Diceros bicornis minor: one gene and its partner. The protein of the gene in region 1 purifies or fractionates together with the protein of each later gene. This does not show direct contact. Links are inferred from orthologs where the notes say so. Each region holds a gene or a part of one and is shown on either strand. Other genes may lie near its edges. The genes, in order: HSPBP1 and EDRF1.

Evidence for each region.
Region 2: the proteins of HSPBP1 (region 1) and EDRF1 purify together in Homo sapiens (affinity purification with mass spectrometry; 3 studies listed by BioGRID and IntAct, counting the BioPlex papers as one, with this or other methods). This does not show direct contact. The link is inferred for Diceros bicornis minor from reciprocal best matches to the Homo sapiens genes HSPBP1 and EDRF1.

What each region holds. Positions count from the first base shown.
Region 1 is NC_080773.1:33,289,521-33,304,504, reverse strand, and holds the start of HSPBP1 (hsp70-binding protein 1), read left to right. Parts: upstream 1-7,513; 5' UTR 7,514-7,617; intron 7,618-7,952; 5' UTR 7,953-8,045; coding exon 8,046-8,249; intron 8,250-10,486; coding exon 10,487-10,691; intron 10,692-12,717; coding exon 12,718-12,942; intron 12,943-14,984. Other genes in the region: serine/threonine-protein kinase BRSK1, read right to left, coding at 478-563, 658-752, 2,634-2,769. UniProt on the Homo sapiens protein: Inhibits HSPA1A chaperone activity by changing the conformation of the ATP-binding domain of HSPA1A and interfering with ATP binding. Interferes with ubiquitination mediated by STUB1 and inhibits chaperone-assisted degradation of immature CFTR.
Region 2 is NC_080745.1:88,301,446-88,317,451, forward strand, and holds the start of EDRF1 (erythroid differentiation-related factor 1), read left to right. Parts: upstream 1-8,580; 5' UTR 8,581-8,655; coding exon 8,656-8,763; intron 8,764-9,744; coding exon 9,745-9,953; intron 9,954-12,135; coding exon 12,136-12,202; intron 12,203-12,871; coding exon 12,872-12,997; intron 12,998-14,089; coding exon 14,090-14,214; intron 14,215-14,462; coding exon 14,463-14,619; intron 14,620-16,006. UniProt on the Homo sapiens protein: Transcription factor involved in erythroid differentiation. Involved in transcriptional activation of the globin gene.

The DNA of each region.
Region 1 (14,984 bases):
TTGGGGGAGGAGGGGGGAGCTCCAGAGTGGGAGTTTGGAAAGAGGCAAGATTTTCACTGGGCCTCGGCCTTCACTGGGCTCACGGCCCCTAGTCAACAGGGAGCATCTGTCCTTAGCAAGTTGGGTCTGGCTGAGGCCATCCAGATTATCCAGTATGGCGTGCGCCCTGCAGTGCAGTAGGGCAGGGGACTGGGGCTGGGAGGAAGGGGGAGGATCAGCCTCTGTCCCCGACTCAGTACGGCTTAGCTGTCCTGTCGCTGGGATACATTCGACCCTTAGCGTGAGGCCAGGTCAGTGTGGAAACAAGGAGGATTATGTGTGTGTGCGGGGGTGTTGCTGTGGGGGAAGGGAGTAGGGAAGGGACTGGGCCTTCACTGGCCCAGCTGAGAGTGGGCTTCCAGGCCCTGTCTGCGGAAAAGTCCCACCCTAGGAACTTGGGGAGGGCGCATGGGGGGCTGGGTGTCTATAAATACCTACAAATATTTCTTGTTCTCGTAGACGTCATGGAGCTTGAGGACGTGTGGGTGTTCAATGAGCTTCAGGATGGCAATCTCCCGTTCCACCTGGGGGACCGAGGGGTGGGACACAGGAGTGGAGGTCAGCATGGCCTCCCTTCATTCCCCCTAGCCCCAAAGGGTCCCCCCACAACATACACACCTTCATCAGCACCGACTCGGACAGCTTCTCCCGGTTCACGATCTTGATCGCGACCTTCTGGCCCGTGATGCAGTGGACCCCGAGTTTAACCAGCCCTGGGGGAGCAGGTTTGAAGATGTGGGGTGTACTCCCAGAGCATCCTCCCCGCTGTGGCTCCTAAGCTCCCCTTTCCACCTCAATTCCTCCTTCTTGCCCTGCTGGCTGTTTAGCAGTGGCCTGAATCACTCTCACCTGAACTTCTGCGGGCCAACAGCCGCCATTCCCACAAAACACAATTCTCTTCCTGCTTCCTATTGCCCAATTCTGTTCCTTCCGATTGTCCATCACCCACCTGCCTTCCCCTCCACAGCCACCCCTTGATTCTCAATCTGATTCTCTCCCCTTCTGGCGTGCCCATTTCAGTTCATCTCTCTACATATTCTTTCCTCACTGAGTCTCCATAGTTTTGTCTCCCTCATTCTGCCTGCTTCAAACCTCTCTCTCTTTCAACCCATCACTTCCTTCAATTCTCTGCCTTTTAATCTAGAGACTTCACGTCTCCCAAGGAATATAATCGCACCTTTGCCCCCTTCCCAGATCATCCTCCTCCACCTTCTCTGAAACCCTGACCTCTCAATCCCCTTCTTTGATCTACTTTTAATAGCAGATGCAGCTGGCAGCATGCAAACCCCAAGGGTAAGCCCCAAAGCCACAGACCCAGGAGTCCAAGCCCCCAGCCCCTCCTCCCTCAGACCCAGGAGTCCAGGCCCCCAGCCCCTCCTCCTTCAGACCCAGGAGTCCAGGCCCCCAGCCCCTCCTCCTTCAGACCCAAGGGTCCAGGCCCCCAGCCCCTCCTCCCTCAGACCCAGGGGTCCAGGCGCCCAGCCCCTCCTCCCTCAGACCCAGGGGTCCAGGCGCCCAGCCCCTCCTCCCTCAGACCCAGGGGTCCAGGCGCCCAGCCCCTCCTCCCTCAGACCCAGGGGTCCAGGCGCCCAGCCCCTCCTCCCTCAGACCCAGGGGTCCAGGCGCCCAGCCCCTCCTCCCTCAGACCCAGGGGTCCAGGCGCCCAGCCCCTCCTCCCTCAGACCCAGGGGTCCAGGCCCCCAGCTTCTCCTCCCTCAGACCAGGAGTCCAGATCCATGGCCTCTTCCTCACCCATAACTCAAGAATTCAGGTCAGCAACACCTTCACACTCTTACCACTAGGATCTGGGGGTCTGACCCTCTTCTCCTTCCTACCTCACACCCTGGCCCTCAGCTTCATACAGACCCTGGACCCACCAGTGGACCCCCTGCCCAGGACACAGGTGTGCAGCTCCCGCCTCACATCTGCCCACCCCCCACCTGGCAGGAGAGAGGCCGTGCTGGTGGCCAGTGCTTAGCAACAGCAAAAGATGACCCCCCCATTCCACAGCCACTCCTGGGGGATTCGCCTCTTGCATCCACCTTTCCACCTCTCCATTCCTGGTCCCCACACTGAGCCAGCATGCTGGAGAAGGGGAAGAATGCTGTAGACCCCATTGCCCTGGCCTCCCCCTGTCACCCCAATGGCCTGCCAGGAGAGCCTGAGGCCCTCTTTGGCTAGAGGACAGTGCAGAGGGAAGCGGCTTCCTGGGGTGCACCCCCATCCCGCCACCTCACCCCAGTCTGCGGCTGTACTGCAGCAAGGAACTCTGCTCCCAGTACGGCCGGTCCCGCTGCGGCCGGCCTCCCTTCCCCACGGAGGCCAGGGAGCCCCTCCAACCTCTGCCCCAACGGGGCGGGAGCCTTCAGGCGCCAGACCTCACCCGAGGAATCCAGGCCCCTAGGCCCCTCCTCCCCAGGACCCCAGAGTCTGAGCTCTCAACCCCTCATCCTGGGGGTTCAGCCGTCTTGACCCCCAAGTGCCTTCTCTGTGAGGGACCCAGGGGTCTGGGCAGCCTTTGCATACCCATGAGTCCCGCCCTCTGCCCCCCAGCTCCCCTGCACCCGCCCCAGGTGTCCCCTCCCCTGGCTCACCTGTCTGTCCTTTGCCCAGCGTCTTCTCCAGCCGATAGGGGCCCACATATTGGGCGTGCTGGGGTGGGTGTGGGTGTGGGTGCGGGAGGTGGTAGGCGGGGGAGCCCCCGCCCCCCTCCTTGGCCCCGGACGACATGGTGCCCTTGGTCCCGGCCCGACTGGCCCCCCGGCCGCCCCCCCTGCGGCCAGTAGCCCCGTCTCTCCGGTGGGGGCCGGCGACCGCTCCGTCCCGGCCCCCCCGGCTGCCCCCCACCTCTCCGGGGGTCCCCAGGGGGCTGGGCTGGGCCCCCCCACTCGGCGGGCCGCGGAGCTGGGGGAGGGGGGGCTGGCCCGGGGGGGTCAGGCCCCGGGAGTCAGCATGGCCCGGGGGGGCTGCGCGGCCCCCCCTCCCCGGCCCGTCCCTGGCCGGCCCCCCCCTTCCTGCGCCTCCCCCCGCCGGGGGGGGTCTGAGGTGCGGGCCGGCGGATGCTGCAGGCCGAGGTCCCCCCCGCCCCCCCACGCGCCCTCTCTCCTCCGCCTCCTCCTCCTCTCCGCCTCCCCCCGCCACCTCGTCCTTTCTCTCCGGCACGCTGACATCACCATCCGGGGACTCCGGGCCCTTCCCCAAAGTTAACCCTTTCGGAAGGGGGAGGGGAGCGGGGGCAGGGGGCGGGCCCGGGAGCTGGAGGGATGGAGAGGAGGTGGGAGGATGCAGGGAGGGAGGGAGGGAGGGATGCAGGAGGAGAGAGGATGGAGCGAGAGAGACGCCGAGCAAACAGACAGGGGCAGAGATGGAGCTACACAAAGGGAGATGCAGTCTGACATAGGCACGGGGAAAAGGAGACAGACATGGCAAGAGAGATGGAGGCAACCAGAGACAGGGCTGGGGCAGGAGGGGAGAGGAGGAGTCCGGAGATGGGCAGAGACAGGAGAGACAGAGAGACAGGGAGGTGGTGAGAGACTCATAGGAAAGCAGAGACAGGGACAGAGGTGGAAAGAGTCAGAGACCTGGAGAGACAGACATGCGGGAGAAAGAGGGAGTCCAGCCAGAGAGATAGGGGAGAGGCATGGAGAACAGCAGAGGCGGTGGAGAGACAGAGAGATGGGGGAGAGTAAAGAGACGGAGAAAGGAGAGAAGGTGATAGGGAGAGACAGAAAGATGGAGAGACAGGGATGGAGAAAGGAGAGATGGTGGTGAGGAGAGAGAGATGGAGAGACAGAGATGGAGAAAGGAGAGACAGTCATGGGGAGAGACAGAGATGGAGAGACAGAGATGGAGAAAGGAGAGACGGTCATGGGGAGACACAGAGATGGTTGGACAGAGATGGAGAAAGGAGAGATGGTCATGGGGAGACACAGAAATGGAGAAAATCAGAGATAGAAATGGAGAGAGACAGAGGTGAAGGACAAGAGAGTTGGACAGACAGGGAACTGGGGGAAAACAGAGGCAGAGAGATATGGAGAGACAGATGGAAGAGAGATGAACAGAGAAAACAGAGCGAGAGATGGGGAGAGACCTGGAGAAATGGAGGGGATGACAGAGAGATACAAAGCTTTGGAGAGATGGAGGGAAGGGGGAGAGAAGTGGAGATAAGCAGAGACAGGGACAGAGAGAGGGAAAGGTGTGAAAGTTGTGGGGGGAGGTGGGCAGACAGAGGAGGGAAGGTCAGAGAGCAGGAGGAAACTGGGAGAGATGGAAAGGGACAAGGGGGGAGGAAAAATAGAGACAGGTGGAGGGCGGGGGGAAAATAGCTGGAGAGACAGATGTAGAAAGAGAGCTACAGAGAGAGAGGGACGAGGAGAGGGATAGAGGTGCAGACAGCAAAATAATGGGGGGATACACACAGGTGGAGGGCTAGATGCTGGGGAAGATGGGGACAGATTGGAGGGCAGAGAAAGGGGGAGACAGGCAGAGAGAGGAAAAGAGTTTTGGGAGTTGCAAACTTCCCAGGCCCCCTTTCCCCACCAGCATCAGAGCCCCATATCCACCCCACAGCCCAGGGTGCATGTTTTCAGATCATCTTGGTTCCATACCTCCATCAAGGATCCTCCCTGCTCCCACAGAGAAACTTCTAGAACCCTCTGAGGCCTCTCTGTATTTTCTGAGACCCCTATGTATTCTCCGTGTCCACCACAGGGTCCCCTTGATCTTCATGTGGGCCCCCATATAATCGTACATCTCCACTGTAGCACATCCATGGATCTGTGCTCAGCCCATGGGTAATCCACAAGCCTCCACCAGATTTCCACGTAATCCAGGACTCCCCTATATCAAGTACCCAAAGGTGTTAGGATCGATCCCATGTCATCCCCAAGTCCTCTATAGAGTCTACCCGTGAGCCTTTAGTCTCCTAGTCAACCACCTCCATTCCATGAACCTTTATGGAGTGCCGTCTGAGCCGGACACTCTCCCAAGTGGGGAGGGCACAGCAGTGAACCAAATCAACAAAGACCCCGGCCTGTGGAGCTCCCATTGCTGTGGATGAGGGAGGCGAGAAACAAGAAAAACAAGCAAAATATACCAGTATGTTAGATGATCATGATCAGAGCTGAAGAGGAGACTAAAGCAGGGAAGGGGCAGGAAGTGTTTGTTAAGTGGGGTATGATTTAGATACGGTGCAGGAGAGACCTCTCCGGTGAGGGGATATTGAAGGAAAGTGAGGGTCAGAGCCATGTGGATAAAGCACTGGGAGCCTTCCAGGCAGAGGAACAGCAGGTGCAAAGGCCCTATGGCAGGAGCGTGCCTGGCGTGTTGTTGGAACGTGGAAGGGGCCAGTGTGGCTGGAGGGGAGTGAGCGAGGGGAAGTGAGAGGAACCGAGATGAGGACGCAGATCGTATATGGCCTTAGAAGCAGGTGACCATATGTCCTGGTTTATGCCTGGTGTTCTGTAATTATTAACAGGGTCTGTTTTCACTCTCAAGTGTGTCGCTATGGGTGGAAAATTATATGGTCATTCTACTGATAGGTCATTGTAAAGGCCATGGCTTTTATAGGGTACCTGGGAGTTCTCATCCAGGCTACCCTCATATGATACATATATTTATATATATAATGTTACATATAATTACATGTTATATGTACGTATATGGTATTATGTAAATACCATATATGTAAATTATAGATAAATAGATTTGGGCATAGGTGTACATAACTGTGGTAGCCTGAATAACAGGTCCCCAAAGACGTCCATGTCCTAATTCCCGGAACCTGCGAATATGTCCCCTTACACGGCAAAAGGGACTTTGCAGATGTGATTGAGTTAAAGATCTTGAGATGGGGAGATGATCCTGATTATTTGGGTGGCCCTAAATGTAACCACAGGGGTCCTTATGAGAGGGAGGCAAGAGGGTCAGAGTCAGAGAAGGAGATAGGATGACGTTGGAAGCAGAAGCCCAAGCGATGTAGCCACAATCCAAGGAATGCGGGTGGCCTCTAGAAGCTGGAAAAGGCAAAGAAACAGGTTCTCTCCTGGAGCTTCCAGAAGGAGCGCAGCCCTTGCAGACACCTTGATTTTAACCCAGTGAGACCCATTTTGGATTTCTGATCTCCAGAACTGCAAGATAATAAATCTATGTTGTTTTAAGCCACCAAGTTTTCGGTACTTTGTTAACAGCAGCCATAGGAAACTAATACAATAGGGTACCCAGGGACCCAGACCCCTGTCGGATAGTGATCCTCCTCAGTGCTACAAACACCACACACTCACACACACATGGCTTATGCCTTCTATCTTCCCATCTCTGCCCAAAATATCACCCCACACACCCCAAGCCTAGCAGTGTGCTCCTTTTTCTTGTGTGTGTGAGGAAGACTGGCCCTGAGCTAACATTTGTGTGAATCTTCCTCTATTTTGTATGTGGGATGCCACCTCAGCATGGCTGATGAGCGGTGCATAGGTCTGCACCCAGGATTCGAACCTCTGAACCCCGGGCCACTGAAGCAGAGCACATGAACTTAACCATTACGCCACCAGGCTGGCCCTGAGTGTGCTCAATATATCTGTGACTGTGATCCCCACCTGAAGTTGAGTACAACCTTTTCCTGGACCTGGAGGGCATCTTATAGCAGACCAGAACTAGGGTTTTTTTAAGTCCAGCCCAAAGCAAACACCTCCACAGACCAAGCACATGCCCAGACCTGAGCTCCAACCTGATGCGCAGAGGCTGCGAGCCTCCCAAACCACCTGGCCTGGGCATTTTACTTCTCAGCTTTCGGCTTCAAGAATTCTGTCCTCTGCACCTGGCAGGACCCAGGGAAGATTCCAGGAGGAAGAAGCTGGGTGACGAGGGGTCCGCACAGGAGCTGCAGTGTAGAGAATGGGCAGCCCTCTTTGACAAATGGGGAAACTGAGACCAAGGGGGGGGTGGGGTGGGTTAAAGGCTGCCTAGGTCAGCTATTAGGGGTGGGAACCCAGGGCTCCAGTAAAAGATGGGGTGGGGGCCCAGGTAGAGGGGAAAAGGCCTGAGGATAAGGGAGCCCCACAACCTGCAGCGCCGGGATGGGGCGGGGCCGGCGTTCCAGGTATGGGGGCTGGGCTTAGGGAAGGGGCGGGGCTTAGCTGGGAGAGGCTGAAAGGCCTAGACGGGGCGGAGCCTGAGGTGGTGGAGCGGGGCAGAGTTTAGAAAGGGGCGGGACAGGTGGGGGTGGGCGGGGCCCAGCCGAGGCGGAGCCAGGCCTGGGGGCGGGGCCTACACCAGGGCAGGGGTGGACCTTGCAATGAGGATGAGGAGGCGGGGCTCACTGAGGGGTGGAATCCAGGCTTGAGCGCGAGGCGAGGGAAGGGGCCTACGTGAGGGGCGGGGCCGAGCGCAGCGTTGGGCCTGGTGGGAAGGACTTAAGAGGCGGGCAAGCTGCCTCGGCCCCGGCTACGGCCCGAAGTTGGGTGGGTGCTCCGTTGACTTCCGGGAGAGATCTGCGTATTTCCGGTTAAGATGGCGGCGCCCACCAGAGTCAGGTGCGGGCGACTCTGTTTTTAGTAGCGGTCGCGACTCGCTCCCGGGGAGGTGAGGTTCGCCCCGCTCTGGCTCCTGTCTTCGGAGAGGAAGGAGGAGATTTGTTGCTGACGATCAAAGGGAGGGCTTGTTGCTACGGAGGCAGGGCCGTGGCGTTGCTAAGAGACGGGAACGCGTGCAGTGGAGATGGGGGAGGGGGTTGCTAGGTTGCTAGGGAGAGTGGGTGGGGCCTGTTATTAGGGAGGAAGGAGGGGCTTGTGACTTTGGGGAAGGGTCCAGTTGGTATGAAGGGCGGAAAGGGGACTGTGGTTAAGGGGGGTGTGGGCAGAGTGGTTCGGGGTGATGGGGGCGCGCCGAGCTCCCCTAAAACGCCACCTTCTCAGCAGACCCCCAGGAGTCAACCCGTCAGGACGCCAGAGCTACTTCAGCGGTGACCACTCCTATCCCCAGCACATCCTTCCCTTCTTCACAAACAGCCCATGGCGAACCAAGACTCGACGGGCAGCCGCCTGCCCCTGGCGCTGCCCCCGGCCTCCCAGAGTTGCTCGTCAGGGGGCGGCGGCTCCTCGGCGGGGGGCTCGGGCAACCCCCCGCCCCCGCGCAACCTCCAGGGCCTGCTGCAGATGGCCATCACGGCGGGCTCTGAGGAGCCAGACGCCCCTCCGGAACCCATGAGTGAGGAGGTAAGCGATGGGGAAGCTGGGGTGAGGGGTGTGGGGACAGATATATCTTGGGAAGTGTGGCTTGGGGGGCTAGAAGCTGGGGTTTTCCTGGGTAGGCGGCAGGAGTCCAGGTGTGAAGGCATAGTTCGCTATGTTTGTGCCAGATGGGCTACTGTAGGCTGAAGGTCAGATCTCAGAAGTGTCTGCAGAGGCAGATTCCTGGGTCCCAGCACTGTGCTGGGAGGCAGAATAGCTTCATGGTAAAAAGAAAAGGCCAGGGTCTCCAGAGCCAGACAGACCTGGATTCAGCATTATCCAGTTGTGTGACCTTGTGCATATCACTTAATCTCTCTGAGCCTCAAGTTCTTCATTTGTAGGTTGATGATGCTAATGAGAACAGCAGTACTACTTAGAGTAGTTCTGAGGATGCAGTTGAAGTAGGGCCCCACACAGTGCCCGACAGGTAGGCTGTGCTCCTGAAGGCAGTGGACTGTTCTCCTTAAGAGCACCAGTCTGTGGACAGGCTGCTTAGGCTTTGCGGATTGCTGACTGTGTGATCTTGGGCAAGTCATAAGCTTTCTGTGCCTCGATTTTCTTATCTGTGCAGGGACGATAACAATAATACCTCGTAGGGTGGTTTTGGAGATGAATAGCAATATTTGTTACACAGTCATGCGTTGCTTAACAACGGGGATACATTCTGAGAAATGCCTGGTCAGGCGATTTTGTCAGTGTGCGAACATCATAGAGTGTACTTACACAAACCTGGATGGTATAGCCTGCTGCACACCTAGGCTCTGTGGCACTAATCCCATGGGGCCACCGTCGTATATGCAATCCGTCGTTGACTGAAATGTTGTTATGCGGCACGCGACTGTTGATAATGTTTTGGTGGCCGTGGCGATTACAGTAGACGAAACATTGTGCTAATCCAGTTACATCCATGATGTCATTGAACCTTTAGGACAGGGAGGTAGGAAACAGGCACAGAAAGATTAAGCATCCTGCCCGCATTTATCCAGGACTGTGACTACAGAGCCCTCATGGGAGCACTCAACACAGGGCCTGGCCAAAAAAAACAAAATTCCAGTGGCCGTTTCTCAGCTCTCATCTTATTTGACCTACTAGCAGCATTTGAATTCTCCCCCTCCTTGATCTCTTTTTTCATTTGGCTTCTAGAACAACACAGTGTCCTGGTTTTCATCCCACTCACTTGCCCTTCCTCCCCATGTCCTCTGTTGGTTCTTCCTGGTTCCCCAGCCTCTCAGTGATGGAGCACACCAGGACTCTGCCCTTATCAGTGCTCACTGCCCATGTGACCTCATGTTGTGTTGGGGCTGTACTCTAATGCCTCTCAAGTTTATATCTCTAGGTCACTGGTTCTCTACTGGGGGCGGTTTTGTCTCCCAGGAGGCATTTGACAGCATGTGGAGATATTCTGTGTTGTCACAAACTGGGGAGGCTGCTATTGGCATCTAGTGGGTGGAGGCGAGGGATGCTGCTCAACATCCCGCAGTGCACAGGATGGCCGCCACCAGAGAACATCCAGCTCAAAGTGTCAGTAGAGCCGAGAGTGAGAAATCCAGGTCTAGGCTGGACTGCCTCCCTGAGCTTCAGGCAGCCTACTCAGTATTTTACCTTGGGTGTATAATGGATCCCTCAAACTTAACATGTTCAAAAATGAGCTCTTGGGGCCAGCCCCATGGCTTAGCGGTTAAGTGCACGTGCTCTGCTACTGGCGGCCCAGGTTTGGATCCCGGGCGTGCACCGATGCACTGCTTGTCGGGCCGTGCTGAGGTGTCGTCCCACATACAGCAACTAGTAGGATGTGCAACTATGACATACAACTATCTACTGGGGCTTTGGGGAGAAAAAAGGAGGAGGATTGGCAATAGATGTTAACTCAGGGCTTATCTTCCTCAAAAAAAAAAGAAAGAAAAGAGCTCTAATCTCTGCTCCTCCCCATCCACACCCGCTTCTCCAGCCGTCTTCCCCATGTTCTTCTAGTTGCTCAGGACAAGAACCTAGGAGTCCCTGGTGCCTCTCTTTCTCTCACACCCCATAGCCAGTCTCTCTGTAGATCTAGTGTCTAGAAAAGAGTCTGTCAGTAGAAAAGATGCTCAATAGATATCTGTTGATTGAAGGAACAGTCAGCTCTCATATGTTGGCCGTTATTATTAACGACTGTTATTCATGTATTAATTATTGATAGAGGTTTTCTTCTTTCCCCCACCCTTCCGCCCCTCCTCGTCCCCCAGAGGCGCCAGTGGCTGCAGGAGGCCATGTCTGCCGCCTTCCGGGGCCAGAGGGAGGAGGTGGAGCAGATGAAGAACTGCCTCCGAGTGCTGTCCCAGCCCACGCCCACCTCGGCCAGCGAGGCTGAACTGGCTGCCGACCAGCAGGACCGCGAGAGGGCCCTGGAGCTGCTGGCCGACCTGTGTGAAAACATGGACAACGCAGCGGGTACACCGGGCCCGCCCCAGCGCACCGCCCAGTTGCCAGGGCCCTGCCCCTTCTGCCTCCTGGTCTCCCTTCTGTCTCTTGCCCCCTCCTCAGCCCCGTGTCCTGCTGCGGCTCAGCCCTTGTCCTTTGTCTCAGGGACCACGCTGCCGGCCTGCTCCCCAGCCTCCAGCCTCTGCCTCTCCAGTCTGGCTCCAACTCAGGCCCCAGATGGGACTTCTCTGTCCCTCCCTGCTTTGGCCCCTTGCCACCAGGAGCAGTGATGGCACCTGCTCTCACCCCACACAGCCAGCCTGGCAGCAGGTTCAGTCCACTACCTCCCTGATAACTGGCCATTTTGCCCTCGTCGGCTGGGAGTCCACCATCATTCCCTAGAACATGAGAGAGGAGGCGGTTCTGGGCAGAGTGGTCAGAGAAGGCAACATTTGATCAGAGACTGGAAGTGAGGGCATGAGTTGTGGGACTGGCTCTGGAAAAAACATCCTAGGCAAAGGGAAGGGCCAGTGCAAAGGCCCTGAGGTCGGAATGTGCCTGGCGTGTGCACGAACAGCAGTGAGGCCAGCACGGCAGAGTGGAGTGAGGGATGAGGGGTAGGAAGTGATGCTGGGTGTGCAGGGCTTACAGGCCGAGGTAGGCGCGGTGAGTTTTATTCCAAATGCTGTGGAGCCCGTAGAAGGATGAGACCTCACTTCCATTTGGAGGGGCACGGTGTAGTCATTGAGGGCTGGATTTGTCTATTCTGGAGGTTTCATGTAAATGGAATCATAGAATATGTGACTGGCTTCCTTCACCGAGTGTGACATTTTCAAGGTTCTTCCATGTTGTAGCCTGTACTGGAACTTGATCCCTTTCTGTGGCTGGCTAATACTCCTCTGTGTGGCTAGTCCACATGCTGTATCCGTTCATCAGCTGCTGGGCGTTTGGGTCATTTCCCCCTTTGGTTATCGTGAATAATGCTGCTGTGAACCTTGGTGTGCAAATATCTGTTCGAGTCCCTACTTTCCATGCTTTTGGATATACATGTCGGCGTGGTCACATGGTGACTCTGTGTTTAACTTTTTGAGGAACCGCCAAGCTCACCAGTACTGCTTTATTTACAAAACAGGCAATGGGCCGTACTTTGCTCACCTCTGGTCTTGTGTGTGCTTCTTCCACAAGGGATGTTCTGATTGTCACAAAGACTGGGGGTCAGTAATGGCATTTAGTGGGCTGGAGCCTGGGACCCTGACCCCCTAAATGCTGACATTGTTGAGACACACCGGCCTTGGAGGGGCCCCCGGTTGGGTGCTGGGAGAGAGCCAGCACTCGGAGGTAGGTCACCTGGGAGCCGGCCGCCCGTCCAGCCTCACGTGGTGTATTAGTCCATGCATTTGGGCTGTCAAGCAATGCACCACAGGCTGGGAGCCTTAAACAACAGAAATCTATTCTCTCACAGTCCTGGAGGCTGGAAGTCCGAGATCAAGGTGTTGGTAGAGTTGGTTTCTTCTTCTTTTTTTTTTTTGTGAGGATATCAGCCCTGTGCTAACGTCTGCCAATCCTCCTCTTTTTTTGCTGAGGAAGACTGGCCCTGGGCTAACATCCATTCCCATCTTCCTCCACTTTATATGAGACGCCGCCACAGCATGGCCTGACAAGCAGTGTGTTGGTGTGCGCCCGGGATCCGAACCGGCGAACCCCGGGCTGCCGCAGTGGAGCGCGCACACTTAACCGCTTGCGCCACTGGGCCGGCCCCGAGTTGGTTTCTTCTGAGGCTTCCCTCCTTGGCTTGTAGATAGGGGTCTTCTTCCTGTGTCCTCGCGTGGTCTTCCCTCTGTGTCTGTGTCCTAATCTCCTCTTCTTATGAGGCACCAGTCATACTGGATTCGGGCCCATCCTGTGACATATTTCACCTTACCCACCTCTTTAAAGGCCCTCTCTCCAAATGCAGTCACATTCTGAGGCTGGGGGGTTAGGGCTTCAACTTGTGAATTTGGGGGGGACATAGCTCAGCCCTGACATCAGGCCTCCCTCTCCCGTCTCTCCGGCATAGACTTTTGCCAGCTGTCGGGCATGCACCTGCTGGTGGGCCGGTACCTGGAGGCGGGGCCCGCGGGGCTGCGGTGGCGGGCGGCGCAGCTCATCGGCACGTGCAGCCAGAACGTGGCGGCCATCCAGGAGCAGGTGCTGGGCCTCGGCGCCCTGCGCAAGCTGCTACGGCTGCTGGACCGGGACTCCTGTGACACGGTGCGCGTCAAGGCCCTCTTCGCCATCTCCTGTGAGTATCCCTCGGGCTGCCTGGGAGGGGCACGGCTCCCCTGGCTGGGGGCAGAGGAGAGGGGCCTCATTTGTCCGTTTGTTCCCAGCACCTGTCGGGTCTCTGTGCTGGGAACAGAGCAATGACCTTGCCAAACCCCCTGCTAGTCAGAGAGCCAGATCCTGCCTGCGGAGGAACGCAGCTCAGCTTAAGTGCTCTACGCCCACTGGGGTTCTCAGCTTCGGCACTGTTGACATTTGGGGCCGGATCATTCCTTGTTTTAGGGGGGCCTCTCCATGGGGCTGCTTGAGTGTCCTCACAACCTGGCGGCTGGCGTCCCCCAGAGAGCGATCCAGGATGCCAGGCTGGAGCTCCAGGGACTGCAATGCCTTTTTTTTTTTCAACTGATGTAAAATTCACATGGCCATTGTAAAGTGCGCATTCCAGTGGCATCTGTCTTTTTTTTTGGTGGGGGGTGACTGCAGGGCATGCCACTGTGTGGCAGCTACCATTTGGTAAGTTCTTAGAATGGCCAGCCTGGTGCTACAAGCCATTTGCAGGGCATGGTGTCCTGGCTCCTGCTTGACGTCACTGCGCCCCCTGCTCCACCCGTGAGGGCACGGAGGCTCGCAGAGGTTCCCCTGCCAGCCGCCGCTCCTGTGTGCCTCTTCGTCTCCACAGAGAAAGGGTTTTGGAAAGATGCAGACCAAGAGAGGGTCAGATGGAGGAGTGTGAGACAGCTCAGAGGACGGGACGGGGTGGGGGGTTGGAGTGGGGAGGAGGGAGTCCCAGGGGGGATGCACGCCCTGCACCTCCCTTTGCTTAGCCTTCTTCAGGTAGACGTGTGGGCCTTGGCGATGACTTTGGCTTTTCACTGCGATGGCAGGAACCAAGGTGCATTTAAAGGGAACAAGGCGATGGAAGGCGGGAGGTTGGTTAGGACGTCACAGTGATAACCTAGGTGAGAGATAAACGGGGAGCGAAGCAGCTATTCTGAAACGGGGACGATTGTCCCTGCAGGGGACATCAGGCAATGTCTGGAGACACGTTTGCTTGTCACAAGTGGGGGTCTGGGGGCTACTGGCGTCTAGAAGTTGCAGGCCAGGGCTGCTGCTCAACATCCTACAGTGCACAGGGCGGCCCCCACCGCACAGAATGATCCGGCCCCAAATGTCAGCTGTGCCTGGTGGAGAGACCGTGGGGTAAAGGGAAGCGCTTGCTCCTGGATATGTCGTGAAGGGGAGTGAAGGGATGTGGAGGCTCGTCATGTCTTCTTCTCCCTGTTGGGTGTTCTTTTTTTTTTTTTTTTTTAAATTCAATAACATATTATTTAATCCTATATATCCAAAATATTATCATTTCAACCCATCATTAATATGGAATATTAATGAGATACTTTACACCTTTTTTCATGCTAAGTCTTTGAAACCTACTCTTAAAGCACATCTCAACTCAGACGCTGCATTTTTAGCGGTCAGCGTAAAGGGTAGTTCTGGTGAGGGGACAAAGTTGTGTCTAGTGGGAAAATATTTTAACACTGCTTCAGTTTTTCACCTTCAGTTTAAATGAATTACACTCAAATGAGATTAATGACTCAGGGCCTCGGTCACACTTGCCGCATGTCAGGTAGTTAGCAGCTACGGGTTTCTCGTGGCTCCCGTCTGCCCTGGCCTAAAGCCTGCCCAAGAGCTGGCACCTCCTTGAAAGTGCATTCCGCAGGCCAGTTCTTATTCTGCTCAGAGGCCTTCCAGGATTCCCGTTGCCCTCAAGATGTAGCCTGGCTCTCTGGGCCTCAGTTTCCTCCTCTGTAAAATGGGATTTCTAGAGCACCTACCTCATAGAGTGGTTGCGAGGATTAAAAAATGATAATGCGGGCCGGCCCCGTGGCTTAGCGGTTAGGTGCGTGCGCTCCGCTGCTGGTGGCCTGGGTTCGGATCCCGGACGTGCACCAACGCACCGCTTCTCCGGCCATGCTGAGGCTGCGTCCCACATACAGCGACTAGAAGGATGTGCAGCTATGACATACAACTATCTACTGGCGCTTTGGGAGAAAAAAAATAAAA
Region 2 (16,006 bases), on another chromosome or scaffold:
CAGACTAACCTAAGACAGTGATTGACAGAACAGAAGGAAATGGCCAGAAAAATGCAACAGGGGGGATTAAATTAAAAAGGATTAAGGATGAGCTCATTTCAAGAATAATCCTAGGAAGGGGGGGCAGGTGGAAGCACACTGGATATGTGTTGGTAACTGTTCAAAGTGGATAATGGCGATGGAAACATGGGGCTCATTTTACTGTATGTATTTGAAATTTTTGTGATTAAAAGATTTGAAAAAGAAGGCAAAGGAAGAGGAGAAGCAGCAGCTGATCTGCAGACTCAGAGGAGGTCCCAGGCAGAGGTATGAGGGAAGGGGTTGGAATATGGGTTCCCCACCCTTTGGGTACCATCCTTCCCTGTGGCAGCACTCCTGCCCTCCGCGCGTCTCTGTCCCTGCATCTATAGGCCCCTCATTCATTTACATGCCCCGACATACACACACTCAGAACTTTCACCCAAGTAATACCATCCCAGGCTCTGCCTATTGGGTAATGCCCCATGTTCTAGAACATTCCCAGATGGGAATGGGAGGCCCTCAGAGCCAGGCTCTATTTCAACTAATCCAGTTGGCCAACCCTCACCTGTGTGTGAGATAAGGCACACACTGAGATCTTCTGGGACAGAGAGTCCTTGATGCTTCTTAAATCACACCAAGCAGGGCCCCCTACAAGAAAAGATCTGCCACAGGTCACAGGAGCCATCTTGGTGGAAATTTCTTCACTCTGGAAGCCTTCCTGCGGCAGTGGAGGCCAGCTACCCTCTGCCCAGGAGGTTCTGTTCTGATTGACCCTTCAGAGGGTCTTCCCTACAGCTGTGATTCTCCCATGGGTCACTGCAATCAGATAATAAACATTAACTGCAGCCAAGATGCTGCTCAGGTCTTTCCAAACAATTCATAATATCCATACCGAGTATGTACAACCATTTTTAGGGATAAACAAGCCTGAGACCCTTCAACGGGAGAGCTTAAGTTTCTCCTCCCACTCTTGTGCTGCTCTTTCCTACTTCCCAACCACTAAAAGAATGATATTTGTAATGTAGATGAGGCCAGTCCTTTTGCACAATGTTGACAGACAAGAGGAAGATTCCAGAGAGAAATGCCACAGCAGCAAATGAACATAAATGACGCTTTTCCACTTTGTGCTCATAAAATGCCTTTTGTACCAGAATCTCAAAGCTCTCCAGGAAGCCAGGCTTTGACTTGCACTTTCGCTCCGGGTACATGTGAATGGCCAGAGCTTCCCAAGTCATTTGTGATAAGAAAGAACAAAAGTCCAGACACTTTTAAAATGCAATATTCTTGCCTTCTGGGCAGTAAACAAAAGTGTGCAGATGGATAATGACATCTGTGGATTCTGGCTCCATTTCCTAAAGAGAAAAAAACGTAAATATGTAAAAAATTGTCATATGTGGATAACACCCGTGGTTCATCCAGTAGTTACCATTCTGCCCAACATTCACACGCAATGGGTTCTGTTACTGGGTGCTTAGTGACTGAATGACACCGAGAAAGTAAAATAGCTCTCTTCAATGCCCACAAGGAAGACAAATGTAGATATGTTTAGTAAAAAGCTCCAGTCTGCGGCTTTGACACGACACTTTTCACTTAGTGATGCCTTCTTTTTGTTCTCTCCACTGGCGGCCTCCTCGTAAATGCGTAATAGCTAAATGATTCATTAGGGTCTGCACAGGGCAAGCCCTTAACTGGAAAGGCAGAGGGGACCCACAAGCAGCGCCTGACTGTAGGATTGACTTGAAGATTCATTTGGGAATTCTTTCCTTCCCTCCCTTAGCCCAGTATGCACAGCATGAATAACCGCTTGGACTCCAGCCACCAACACGTGTCTGAAGAGCAGTCCTGAGTGACTTTGAAACTGTTCCTGGGATTCATTTAGGGTAATAATCAGCATCAGAGGATAAAGCTCACCAAGACTCGAAGAACATTTCTGCTGTGAAAGTAATACCTAGCAGAGACAACCTGCCCCTACAATCACTTGCATTATATTCTGAAAGTCAGCTCTAATAGCTTGCAAAAGAATTTGAGTTCATCGGGTACCTAGAAAAGGAACTCCTTCAAATGCAGTTGAAATGGTTTCCAAATAATTTCAAATAGTTTGCTTAAATGTTATTAGTCTACAGAGGAGCAATTAAATAATTATCACCTAATAATTAAATAAGGTATCCCATAGTTGCAACCAAGAGTGCCTTGCTATTACACTGATAAATTGCACATCAAGGTCTGCATTGTTTTTACTTTAAAATTTTTCTACTGTTGTCAAATTTAGGCGTAAAGGAAAATATAGATCATTAACTTGATACTTGTTCTTGACTGAAAGAGTAGCTAGCATGTGGTTTCGGGTACCATGGTGCATTTAAAATAGTCTTTCTAAAAGTAGTAGTCTATAAACTTTCTTATTACACATGATTATGAAAAATATTTCTGGGGGCCAGCCCGGTGGCCTGGTGGTTAAGTTCGCATGCTCCGCTTCGGCAGCCCGGGGTTCACGGGTACAGATCCCGGGCACTGACGTACACGCTGCTCATCAAGCCATGCTGTGGCGGTCTCCAACATACAAAATAGAGGAAGAATGCCACAGGTGTTAGCTCAGGGACAATCTTCCTCAAGAAAAAAAGAGGAAGATGGGCAACAGATGTTAGCTCAGGGCCAATCTTCCTCACCAGAAAAAAATATATATATATTTCTGAACATGCTGCCCCAATATATGTGTATTTATTTGTAAAAGATATACTCGCAGTAGTATATTAACATAAAAATACAAGAGTAGAAACTTTTTAAAGTCTAAAGCAATCAATATTTACAATATTTTTATTTTAACTGCAAATGGTTCTGTTCTAATATTTTTTAAAAGAGAGTAAAGTGGTCGAATAGGTTTCTTTGATTCTTATGACTCTTGGCTGAAAACTTTGCCATGTAACAATTTGAAGTGTCCTAAGTTCAGTTTATTTTAAAACTTGGTTTTAATGGCTGCCATTGCTTAAAATATCTCAAAAGATAAGTAAACTAACTAGGAAGAATCACATGGTCTCAGAGCTTACCAAGTCAACTGCGCATTTCATTTGTATCCACAAATTATGCAAAGGTTTTAACTGAAATTTGGCTAAATTCCATCTTCTTTGAAGTCCATCAGTCTTTCTTATGAACCAATTAAATGGCGTCAAGGAATAATTCAGAGATATTTAGTTTGTTGTTTTATATGCAATTTATTTACTCATACCTGAAGAGGAAAGGTCAACGGACAGTTGTCATGAAACAAAATTAAAAACAGGAGGTACAAGAGGGAGGAGAGAGGAGAACTCGGCTGGCAGCCTGGGAATAGTGAATCCTGCAGGCACATTTGTGGAGTAAACAGATCACTTCACGGCTGACAAAGAGATCAGTCTGGGCATTCTGAGAAGGCCAACTAGTGGTATCAAAGAAAACAATGAAGATGTGGATAGATTTTTCCAAAGCCCTGAAAGTGTGGCTGAGGAGCACAGGAGACTTGCTATCTCCTTCGAGTTAGCTCTCCGCTCCTTAGGAAAGCCAGATCTGCACCACTGTCCTCCTTAGAATTCCTCAATATATTTAAAATGCAAACTCTCCATTTGGGAGATTTTTAAAGTGGGTTAGAAATTTCAGTTTCAAAGTTAAGTGTGCAGATATGAGTTTTTTATAAGCGATACACGTCATTTTTAGCAACAAAATCACATAATGTTGGAAAGACTTCCAAACATATATTTTCAAAAATGCTCTCTCCATAGGATAAGATTCTTTTGAAAACCAATGATTTTCTCACTCATTGTTAAAACATCACCTTTATCTTGAAGGAACAGATTAACTCTGTTTATTTCTGTGCAACTCTCGCCTGAAGCATCCTAATGACAGCTGCTAGTCATCACAGAAAAGATGAGGAAATGTGGAACACTTTTTGTAAAAGAAAATATAGTAACTCATTTTCTAAGCTTGACAATTCTTTTAAGTGCTTTGTCACAAGATGATCTGTGATCTCTGTGTGGTACATGAGATTTTCAAGGTCACCCCTCATCTTACTACCACACTTTGAAAAGATTCTCCTAAAGGCCTTGTTTTGTCACCAAATGTGGATGGCATCAGATAGCCCACCGAAACCACCATATGCTGTGGTAGACTGCATAATGGTCCGCAGATACCCAGTCCCCCTCCTTAGGAGGAGCATTAGTCTTCCCTGCCACACTGAGGCTAAGCTTGGCCATATGTCTCATTTTGGTGCCCAAAAAAGCAAGGAGCAGTGATGTTTAGCATTTCTGACCAGAAGCTTTAGGACATAGTTTCTGGTTCACCAATCTCTTGGTCACTCCACCACTCCACCTGGCAACGCTCCAGATTGAGGCTGTTTCATCAGCCTGGGTCCTGGAGTAAAGATTACATGGACGAGTGAAAGTATGACCCAAATGTTGCCTGGGACACACTTCTACTAAATATTTGGAACATTCTTACTCTAAAAATTTTTTCACTGTTTATCTGAAATTCAAAACGTCAAAGCAGCCTGTATTTTACCTGGCAACCCTAGTTGTAAGTCATTGACATTTGCGGATTGTTTGTTTCGGCTGCGTATCCCAATCTTACCTGACCCATACACTAGCTGACCATGGCCCAAGAAAGGGCACCTGTGTCAACCTGTGTATTAAGTATTAGGAAGGCTTGATTTTGCCCTGACTTTTCAGATTAAAAGAAAAGGAAGTTATAGTTCTTCCTGCACCTCAGAGGATTGTCTTTAGAGGTCACTGTTCTAAGACATGGTCTACATGCCAGGGTGGTCAGACACTAGTAATCTCACTAAAAATGTAGATTAATGTAGATTCCTTGGCCTACCTAGAGATATCAGTTTACAATGTGGAGGTGGATAGAGGATCTGCTCACATAACAAGTTCCTCGGCGATTCTGAAACAAATTGAAGTTCCACTAGCCTATATCTGCAACTTAACTTTTTAGAAGGCTACTGGGGAGTCAGAGACCTACATGCTAGTCCTGTCTTTGCTATTAAACTAGCTTTGTATGACATTCAACAAGTTAATTCTATTCTCCTTTCTGGACTGCATTGCTCTCATCTAAAGAGGGACAGGATTGGCTCAGATCATCTCAAATCTCTCTTCCAGCTCTACGAGTCCAGGACCAGGAGTCAGAAACTCAGGGCTTTTCAACGTGCAGCAGGCAAAGTCAACAAGTGAGGCTGGGTAGGTGTAAGACACTAGGTCACGGAGGGGGACTGTGGCAAACTGAGGGGCACAAGTCACAATCTAAGCATTCCCTGAATGTTCTGCTCTTCGCAGGCGGGGCTGTTTAGGAACTCTGTGGACCTTGGCACATTTGCCTTACCTATAACTGTAATAGTTTTTGAAAAGATATCTAATTTTGCTTTGGAAAATACCGCGTGCTGCGAGTAACCAAATGAATGTACGATTGACTGGCATTTCTCTGAAATCATCATGTGTGCTGGGAAGATTTTTGTAAGCAGAGAAAGTCTAACCTACAAATTGTTTTAGAATGGAACCACCTGTGTGTGAATACTGACTTTAATAATTAATGACACTGACACTGCAATGTTTTGGAGATACTTCATTAAACGTTTTTAGCTCTGATTTTGCAGATTAAAAAAATATTTTGGAGCCAACAACACTGTTTTTGTGTCTCAAACATTCTGATAAGCATTTTAAAAGCCTGTTGGCACTACTCATTTTACCTACATCGCCTCAGGGCTAAAACAGTTCTGTCTGCAGGTGCTGTGTCTGCTGTGGGTGAAACAGAGCTGATCAGACAGGGCACTAGCCCTCAAGGAACTCACAGTCGGCAAGGGAGGCAGACACAAACAGGTGATTTTTCTACAAAGTGACAAGTGCAGGATAAAGCTACATACAGGCTTTGGGAACAAAGAAAGGGACTCTAAGGGGTAAGGAGGGGGAGGAGTCAGGAGAGACTTATTAGGGATGATACCTGAGATGAGTCTTGAGGAATAAGCCAGGAGAGGAAGGAAAGGTATTCTAGACAGAGGGAAAGCACAACAAACACAGACTTACGGAACAACTGGTTGATGCAGAAAACTAGAAGCAGTTCATTCATTCAACAGACATTTCTTAAATGGCAAGAGCATCAGGCCCTGGGGAGGCAGGTAAACATGAGAGCGATGACTGCTTACAAGAGCCAGGATACCTGCACCTACAGGCAGAGCAGGCCATGGATGATGAAGTACATCCTGGGAGCTGCAGGGCTGGGAGCTGGGGGGACAGGGAGGGAGGGGGAAGGCGGACACTGATGCAATATAAAAATGAACAGAAATAAGCATCTTAAAATGTGAACTTCTGGAAGTAATGATCCATGTTTTCCCACAATATTATATTTCAATCATTTACATTAGAAATAATGATAATAACTTTAAAAAAAAAAACTTTTTTTTTAAGCAAAGTTTTTGAATAGGGAAAAGAAAAAATAAGCACTCAGAGCTAGAAAAATGTATAAAATTTATGTAACTCAGATGTGCCCAGTTTCTTCTGCCCTAAGGGATCGTCTCCTTTACTTCCTAAATCTCTGTAGTCCTAGCCCTGTTAGTGGCCCAGGAAACCTCGTGCCTCCTCAGGGTTCCTCCACAAGTAGTTCCTGGGAGCGCCTGGTCCCCCAGCCTGAGGACCCTCCACTCCCATGATCCTCTCTGCTGCTGACCCTTTTTCTGTGCGAGTTCCTGGCTCTCTCTGTTTCATTCTCTGTCTTTTCACAGGTTGTTTCCAACACATTTTCCCACTAAGCATCATCAACAAAGGTTCAGACACTTCTCAAGAGGCCTGCAATGTATTTGAGTCCTGAACAAAGAATTACTGCTACCTCAGGAAATCTCTTTTGACAACGATAGAATTATATAATAAAACAAGATTATTAGAAGCTAAATTATATATGCTTAAAAACAATAAAAATTATATTTTACTATAAAATAATGCATAATCAGAGAGAAAAAATAGGAAAATAAAATTTTAAAGAATAAATTTTAAATCACTTGATTTTACCACTCAGAGATATGTTTTTATGGACATAGACACAGAAATAGACGTTTTTAAAATTAGGATGACATTGCATATTTGCTTTTTAAAATTTTATCATTTAACATCATACCATGTACAATTTAAAGGTTCTTGAATATTCTTGAAAAACAAGTTAATAGTTGCCCAAGTTAGTGGTATTATGTGCCAAAAACAGACTGAACCATCCTCCTAATGTTAGATATTTAAGTTGCGTTCAACTTTTTACTATAATAACAATATATTACTTGCAAAAAGAATTGACTGCAAAATACAAACAGGAAATGATTAAGTATCAGAATCAATACATGCAAAGTGTCTACAAAACATACTATTATATCAAATTCATTATTAAATATAATTCATAAAAATGTTTTGTTACATTTGAAAATAATTTGTAAGTTGAACTTGCTCAGTCACAAGGATTTCTAAATATGCACATAGTGAGTTACCAGAGCCTAACGTAAATTACAAATTGAGATAGCCAAATAACTGCAAAGCAAAACTAATTTTTCAAAAAGCTTCCAATATTTTACCGCAAAACTAAGCAAACTTTCATGAAGGATGTGGCTGCATTTAACTAAGCTTGTTAAGATATTGGGTGTGCAGTCCGAGGATAAGAGAGCCTAACACCTTCAAACCTGTACAACGGTCCGGTTATTTCTCTACCTCCTTGCTACTCAGAGTACTGGCAGCGTCTCCTGGGACTGATAGAAATGTAGAACCTCAGGCCCATCTCAGACCTACTGAATCAGAATCTGCATGCCAACTAGACCCCCAGGTGTTTCCTATGCACATTAACACTTGAGAAGCCCCTGTACCACCTAGAATGCTCTTTGCTAGTTCCCTGGGGCCTGACGAATAGAGGGCTCTCCGTAGATACTCCACCAGTCACTAAGCAGCAAACGTGGCACCTTGCAAAACCCTGTTGAGGTGCCACCACTTCTGAAATCCATTCTTAGGTAAAGGCAGAGGGCCTCCTCTGCGCATCTCAGCGCCGCTCCTACACTCGAGACTGTGGGGCCACACAGGCATTGTGATGCGGGGGCAGGACGCCCAGTCCGCGCGGCCTTGAGCTGGCCTGCCCCTCACCTGGACACATCTTTCCCTTCCGGAGCCTGAGCCCGTTTCTAAACCGAGGGGGACTACAGGAGAGGGGAGGGCTAACACCACTACTTGACATAACGGGAGCCCCTGGTTACACGGAGAGCAGCGTTTCCCCTCCCACACAGCGACAACCACGCGGAAACAAATCTCCCGGCAGAAGTTTGCCAACAAAGACTTGCGGCGTGCAAGGGGTGGAGCCTGGGAACCAGATACCGCGAGAAGCGGTCTCCCGAGGAGGTTCTGACAGACGCAGGCGCACTACGGTTCCCGCCCCCGCCGCGAAGGTGGCTTCCACCGCGGGAGGCGGGGCCGGGCCTCTGGCACAAAGGTCGCGAGATTTGAACGCGTCACCGCAACTCCTTCCTGTCTTCCTGAGACCGGAAGTGCAGTGCGCGGGGCGGCTCTGGCGCTAGCTCGCCTGTGCTCCTGCGCGGCTGGGCCCGGTTCTTGTGGCGGCTCCTTGGGTCCCGCCTCTCCTCGCCTTCCGTGGGCCGAGGTGATGGGGGACTCCAAGGAGGCGGGGGCCGAGGCTCCGCCAGCCGGAGCCGCTGCTCGGGAAGGGCTCAGCCTCCTGTCCCAGGGGGAGTCCGAGGAACCTGCGGCACAGGTGAGTCCAGCGCGGGGCGGGACCTGCAGGGCTCCGGGGGCTGCGGGCCCGCTCCCCCGGGGAGGGATGGCACGGTTCCCGGCGGCTTCTGGCGCCTTCTCCACGCCTCCCCGACAGCCCCACACGGAGTGGAAGCCCGTGTGCCTGTCGCCAGGTATCCAGGTATTTACGTGCAAGTCACTCGTATCAGAAGCAGTCCTGCCCTCCTGCTGGGGGGAACCGACAGGTGAGTTGGGATCTCCGCTCTCGAGGAGCGTGCCGGTAAATACGCGGTTCCAGCATGCGGCACAGCCGTGCACAGCTGCAGGGAAAGGGAAGGGCGTCGGGGAGGAGCTCACCGGGAGGGGACTGAGCTGACACTTGCAGGGTGCAAAGTGTCTGCCAGGCCGGGAAGGGGCTGCGGGCAAGGAGGTTAAAACAGTGACCTCAGACGCCGAGCTTGCCTGGGGGAGTGCAGGTGAGGAACCCCAGTGCCTCGCTGTGAAGTCCGAGATTCAGAGTGTTTGTGTAATGACCTGATGAATCAGTTACTATGAGTTTGCTTAAAAAGGAAAAGGCCCCAGATATCTTACCACAAGCTACTTTCTAAGTGATGTATGTTATTGAAATTAAAATACATCCTTAATGCAGAACAGAGGATTCTGTCAGATTTTGCATTTAGTTAATGTGACACTGTTGACTCTCCTTAGTTTCTGCTTTTCCACGTTCGTGAATAAAATTTGAAAGGTAGATTGGTTGGCCTGTTTCCTAGCAGATAACCATAGCCATCATACTCTTTGACTCATGTTTTTTCTTTGAAATTATGTGAAAAAGAGCTAAGTAAATGTGACCGTCTATGATCGCATTTATTAAGTGCTGTTACTAACACATAGCATACATTCTTGTGAAGCCTGATGTGGTGGGGTTTTTTTTCTCTTTATAAAGGTGAGATTTTTCGTTTCTAGGAGTTTTCATTAAAGTGTCATTCAATATGTTAATTAGGGGTCAGCTTTATTTCTTGGAGGCAATGAAGTGAAGAGCCGAGCTGTGGTGAAATACTCTTCTGCCCCTCCTCGAACAGCGTTTGCACGCCTTGAAGAGAAAACAGACTTGAAACTCCCACCTGCCAACTGGTTACGAGAGAGTGCCAAACTAGGGCCAGCAGGAACCACCATTCTTGGCAATAGTAAGAAAAGCAAGCCATTTTCAAGGTAAATATCAATCAGTGGTATTTTTACTTGTCCCTCAAACCTCCCCCCAGCCCTGCCCCCAAACTCTAATACTTGCTTTTCAGTTTAATTGGTAATGCTCATCAACTTGGCAAGGTTTCTCTTTAGAAGAAGATCATGTTTGATTTTCGGAGTCCTTTTTTTCGTTCTAATATGATTATGTTGTTATATGAACATATCAACTTCATATGCTTCTGTTGAGTTTTCATCATGTTATTAACAAAGCTGAGTTTTGACCACTAAAATTCAATCAGCTGTTTTATTTTTAGCCAATTTACGTGCTTTTTGAATGTGTGGATACGAAGAGTCGAGTGGCACAGGAGGAGGAAAACCCTTAACGCTGCCTAATCTGTCCTGTGGAGTTTTGCATTAAATGGTGGTGGATTGTCTGGTCTGAAACAGCCTGGTGTAGAAACCCAGCCTGTTGGGTGACCTATGCCCTTGACTTTGACACTTGCTGGAAATTCTGCTGGTGGTATTTAAAGTTGAGAGAGTGGCCAGGGGTCTTATAGAGATAAATGTGCTAATGTCCATATTCTTGTACACCATTTAATGTGTGGGGTTCTCTTTTTTTTCCTCTCAGTGATTGAACCTAAAATATTTCCACATAACACAGCAAGAGCCATAAATACATTAATATCTTATAAGCCAGTAGTTTGGAGATTATCCTAATGCCTCAGAAGGTAAAAGTTATATTTGCAAAATATTTGTTTGTAGCATTATTTATACTAGCAAAAAGTTGGAAATAGTCCAAATATCTTCTTTTAGAAGAATGGCTTAATAAATTATGATATGTCAACATAATTAACTGTTATGAGGTGATTTAAATAATTGTTGATTGTGTACACTCTAAGTACTTTATATGTTTACCTTATTTAATTCTCACAACAACCCTTTGAGTTAGGTACTGTTAACTAATTATCACATGGAAAAACTGAAGCTTAGAAAAGGTTAACTAACTTGCCTAGACTGTGTGGTAAATCATCAGAGTATGCTTTGAGGTGAGGCTGTCAGAGGTAAGTATCCTGACTCTCTGCCACTTACTATCTGAAAAGTGGTCACCTCAGCTGCTTTTCAGGTTTGTAGATTATAGATTTGCCTCTCATGGTCCCTGGTACAACATTTGTTTTCTTTTCTCCTGCTGGCTGAATTGGTGTCAGGTGCATTTTTTTCATATACATTTTTTATTTTTATTTATTTTTTTATTTTTTGCTGAAGAAGATTTGCCCTGAGCTAACATCCATTGCCAATCCTCCTCTTTTTTTGCTTGAGGAAGATTAGCCCTGAGCTAACATCTGTGCCACTCTTCCTCTATTTTGTATGTGGGTCACCATCACAGCATGGCTGACGAGTGGTGTAGGTCTGCGCCTGGGATCTGAACCCGTGAACCTGGGCCACCGAAGCAGAGTTGCACCAAGCTTAACCACTGTGGCACAGGGCTGGCCCTCAAATATGTTTTTTAAAAGGGTAGTATTGTATATCACTAGGAACACAGTCCCAGAGACTGAAATCCTAATAAATGTTTCTGTTTCTATTCTTCTTATCTCTCCATCTAAAAAGAATAATATCTTGAGCTAACTGTTTTCTCCTGGAGATTTTTTGCGCTTTGTTAATTCAAAAATGAAAATAGGGGCTGGCCCGGTGGCATAGTTGTTAAGTTCATGCACTATGCTTTGGCAGCCCGGGGTTTGCAGGTTTGGATCCCAGGCGCAGACCTACGCACTGCTCATCAAGCCATGCTGTGGCAGCATCCCACGTACAAAATAGAGGAAGATGGGCACAGATGTTAGCTCAGGACTAATCTTCCTCAGCAAAAAGAGAAAGATTGGAACAGATGTTAGCTCAGGGCTGATCTTCCTCACCAAGAAAAAAGAAAAGAATTGTTAACTGTTTTTATTCTAGATGTTTCCTATTAATTGCTTCTAATGATTATTACTATATTTTATCAAATCTAAGATGCCATTGATTTTAAGTCACACCATTATTTTATGTACCACTAAGAAGGAAGAACTAGCCAACTATAATGGTGATGGGCATACTGATTTCAGAGATGTTAGAATGTAGAAAATGTGTATCCTGGAAGCAATGAAATACGGCATTCTGTTATAAACTCTTCTTGCGTTATTATGAGCATGACGTTTGTGGCCTTTGTTCCCTTCGTTAGCTTTGGTATGGCATACGACTTTATCGATTCAGTAGGAAACGACGTGGATGTGGTCTCTGACTCTGAAGTAAGTGTCCTTACTGTGGAATGTAATTGGGGTGTTTCTGCTGGGGATTTAAAGCATGCTGTGTTCTGTAGTCTTGAAAAGTTACTGATGAAATAAGATACAACTATCTGATTATTGGACGCCTTTTTTTGTTATTAAAGTAATAGTCTTTACCATATCTCCTTTCTTCAGAGAGGAAGGAGCAACCCCCAAAACAATGGCAGTGGTAATAATATTAATATTGGTGGTTGTATTTTAATAATAGCAATTACAAGTGATTGTAATGTTTGGGATGATTTGTCTAATGTGACCAGTTGAGAATTAGAATGATGCTTCTAGCAAAATCTATTGCTCCTTAGTTGGTGAGTTTTATCTGATATGCTAAAAGCCTAGGTCAGCGCAGCAGTGTGACCTATACACGCTTAACTTTAGGAAGTTTTGTAATGTAAAAATAAACCTTTGACCATCACTTACATTAACATCGGATGACTTATAAAGTGTAGGTGATTCTGATTTTAAAGCTCTGTCTTCCATGGGTTTGTATTTAGCTGTTTGTGTAAAGTACTGTGTATAACCTTAGGGAAATAAGGTTTACTGTGCTTTAAAATTGAATGAAGTTAAAATTTGAAAGATTCCAAATCACACTAGAAAAAGTCTTTCTAAACTACTTTTCCTCTTAATTTTTTTAAGAACATAAAAAAGCTCCTGAAGATTCCGTACAGCAAGTCCCACGTGAGCATGGCAGTGCACCGCATAGGAAGGACTCTCTTGTTAGATGAGCTGGATATTCAAGAACTCTTTATGAGATCATCACAGGTAATACTCGTGAAAAACAACCGGAAAAGCGTTGTTTTAACAACTTAAGGGCACTAGAAATATGATTTTGTTTCAAAGAAAGGCCAAAGTGGAAATGTAGTTGAGTACTTCAACAATCGAGAGACGAGAAATTTCACTGAAGATAAAAAAGCTTTAATAAAGAAAAAATAGAGAGAACAGGGAAGAAACTTATTTTGTTGATACCAACAGCCAGGATTCTTGGAAGGAAAAGGATGAAACCAATGAGGAAAGTTGTGAAAAATCTGAAATTTAAGGACCTACTTTAAATTTCTGAAAAATCCTTTAATGTTTCCATTAAAGAGATTGTCATGAAACATGGCTGCCAGAAAATGTGAAAAATGTTAAAAGTTATTCCTATGAGTACATAGTTATTGGAATTAATTGGTTCTCTTAAAGCAGAGCTTCTCAAACTGTATGTTGGTAAATGACTGTTTTTCCCTCAGTGTGTTGATGATGGAGACTTTTGTTAAATATAATAACAATGTTGCAGTTTCTCAAGTCTTACTCTCCATTTCTATGTACTTCCCTTGTCATGGACTGTTTGCAAATAGTTTATGGTCCTGCCAGTCCCTTAGGCTAGTCTTTAAATAAAGAATGTTCCTGCAATGCTTTGATAAAGGAAAATAAGTTACAGTGATTTTAAATTGACATTTAAAATAAATGTTTTTTCCTTTGAAGACCACAGTTCAGTTTAATCTATATGTATGTGCTAGCCACTGGACCAGGTCTTGGGATGTGACAGTGAATAAATCACAGTCCTTGCTTCCTAGCAGCTTACAGTTTTGGGGTTATAAACACATACACAGATAATTTCAATACAGTATGCATAGTGGGGCTTATTCCAGGCACTAAAGAACATGTTATGGAAAAAGGTGACTCCTAACCTGGCTTAGGTAGAGAAGGAAGAGAGAGAGATTTCCTAAAAGAGGTGATAGGAATTAAGTCTAGAAAGGTAAGTATGTGTTTATGAAACAATATTCAAAAAATAGAGAGTATTTCCTGTAAAAGAGTAATAGATAACAAATTGTTTTGACCACAGGTTTGTTTTTATCAATTTCTTACATTATTCAGACTGGTGATTGGACATGGCTGAAAGAGTTTTATCAAAGACTTATTGATCAGAAGTGGCAGAGGAAGAAAAAAAGCAAAGAGCACTGGTATCAGAAGGCTATTCTTTCCAAGTTTTTATATTACAGGTACTTGGCTCCTTGTTTATTTTTATCTTAAGAGGAAAAGTGAAATTATGATCTAAAATTTAATTTGAAGCCAATAAAGTAATAATTTGTTTTGCCACTGTAGTATCGTTGACATTTCAATGTCTTATATTCCTTTTTTTAAATAAAATTTACGCTTGATTGTAGAAGCTGCATTTTAAAAACTAGTAGACTGTTATGTAAGTTAACTTTAGTAACCATGTGACGTTTTGTATTTCTGATTTGGCCAGTATCAATGGCGATGGAGCCGCTCAGCCCGTCCCATCTGCTGCAGAACAGCAGGAATCGTCCAGTTCAGACCAGACAAACAATTCGGATGGGGCTTCCTGGCCCGCCCCGTTTGAAATGCCTTCTTCAGTTTCTGAAGATCCCAGTGCTTCCAGTCAGGTTAGTTAGTGCTTAGATGCTAATTCAGTAAACTCATTTGAGAAGACAAAACTAATTATCTTGTTAATAAAAGTAGATGAAGAGGCATAAAAAATATTCTATCAATTTATGTCTCACAATTAGAAAAAATATTTTTTTGTTTTTCAAAGTAGAATTTACAAGAGATATGAGTGACTAGATCAGATTTTAATTAAATAATTAAAAATATTTTAAAATTTTTTATCAGCATTTAAAATAGCTTACCAGTGTGTTTATCAATACTGATTATCTCCTTAAAGTCATAAGAGTATTATTATATATAATATAGAGATATGGTATATTTTCAACTTTAGATACATAATAAATGCCTATCAAATATTGAGACTTACAGGCTTGTTTGTAATTTAAATACTGACCTTCTTGTCTTAACTTTTAGTCAGATTGTTAGGCCTAAAATCGCCCTTAAGATTTTCTGGATGAAGTTCCTGAGACTTAACCCACATTAATGTTATAAAGCTTTTAGGAAGGAAGCGAGAGTACAGTTGTCTCTTTTGTCTCTTATATTCTTGACTTCTTCTTCTTGCTTGTTTTGTCCTTATTGTATCTAACAAGGAATAAAATAATTTCATAGATGTAAATTGTGCATGTCTGTTTTCAAGAAAATATATTGACAAACTCAAAGAAGATAAAAATAAGATCTTTAACTTTGTAAATCGTGTTTTTCCTCTTGTTCTGTGTTCTCACATATTGAATATTATTTGTCCAGATTGTTGCTATCTTCACAAATTATAGGATTATAGGAGGCAAATACGTTTAACTTGATTTTAGTTTTAGTAGGTTTTAAGATAGAGAAACCTCATTAAACTATGTAATGAATTTAAATTTTTTCCAAAGTTGGGAAAACTCTGAGGATAAGGAAGGAAGTGATTACCATGCAAGTTTACTTAGTGGTGAACACCAGGAGGAGGGATGTTGTGTGAATGAGACGGGGCAGTGGTGCTGGCTGCTAGCACGGTTCCGTGTCATGACTTGGGTAATGATTGCATGGGTAATTTGCTTTGTAATTAGTCATTATACTGTATTATGTGTTTTATGATTATGTATGTCATGTGATTATATGTGATTATATTTCACTAAAGGAGATTTTAAAAATTCATTTAGTATTCCTCAGGACCCACACATTACAAAAAAAACACGATAGAAATACTAGTCTCCTACCACCCATCTCCTATCCCAGCCTTATCATTCTGTCCTTACCTTGTTTAGGGGTTACTATGACAATCTTGGAGGCTTTTGACTTGCATGTGGAGGAAGTGAACTGGCATCTATTTAATGCCTCTGTGCCGTGTACTTTATGGTGTGTGTGTATGTGCATAAATTTTTTTCGTCCTTGAAGCTGTGTATGTAT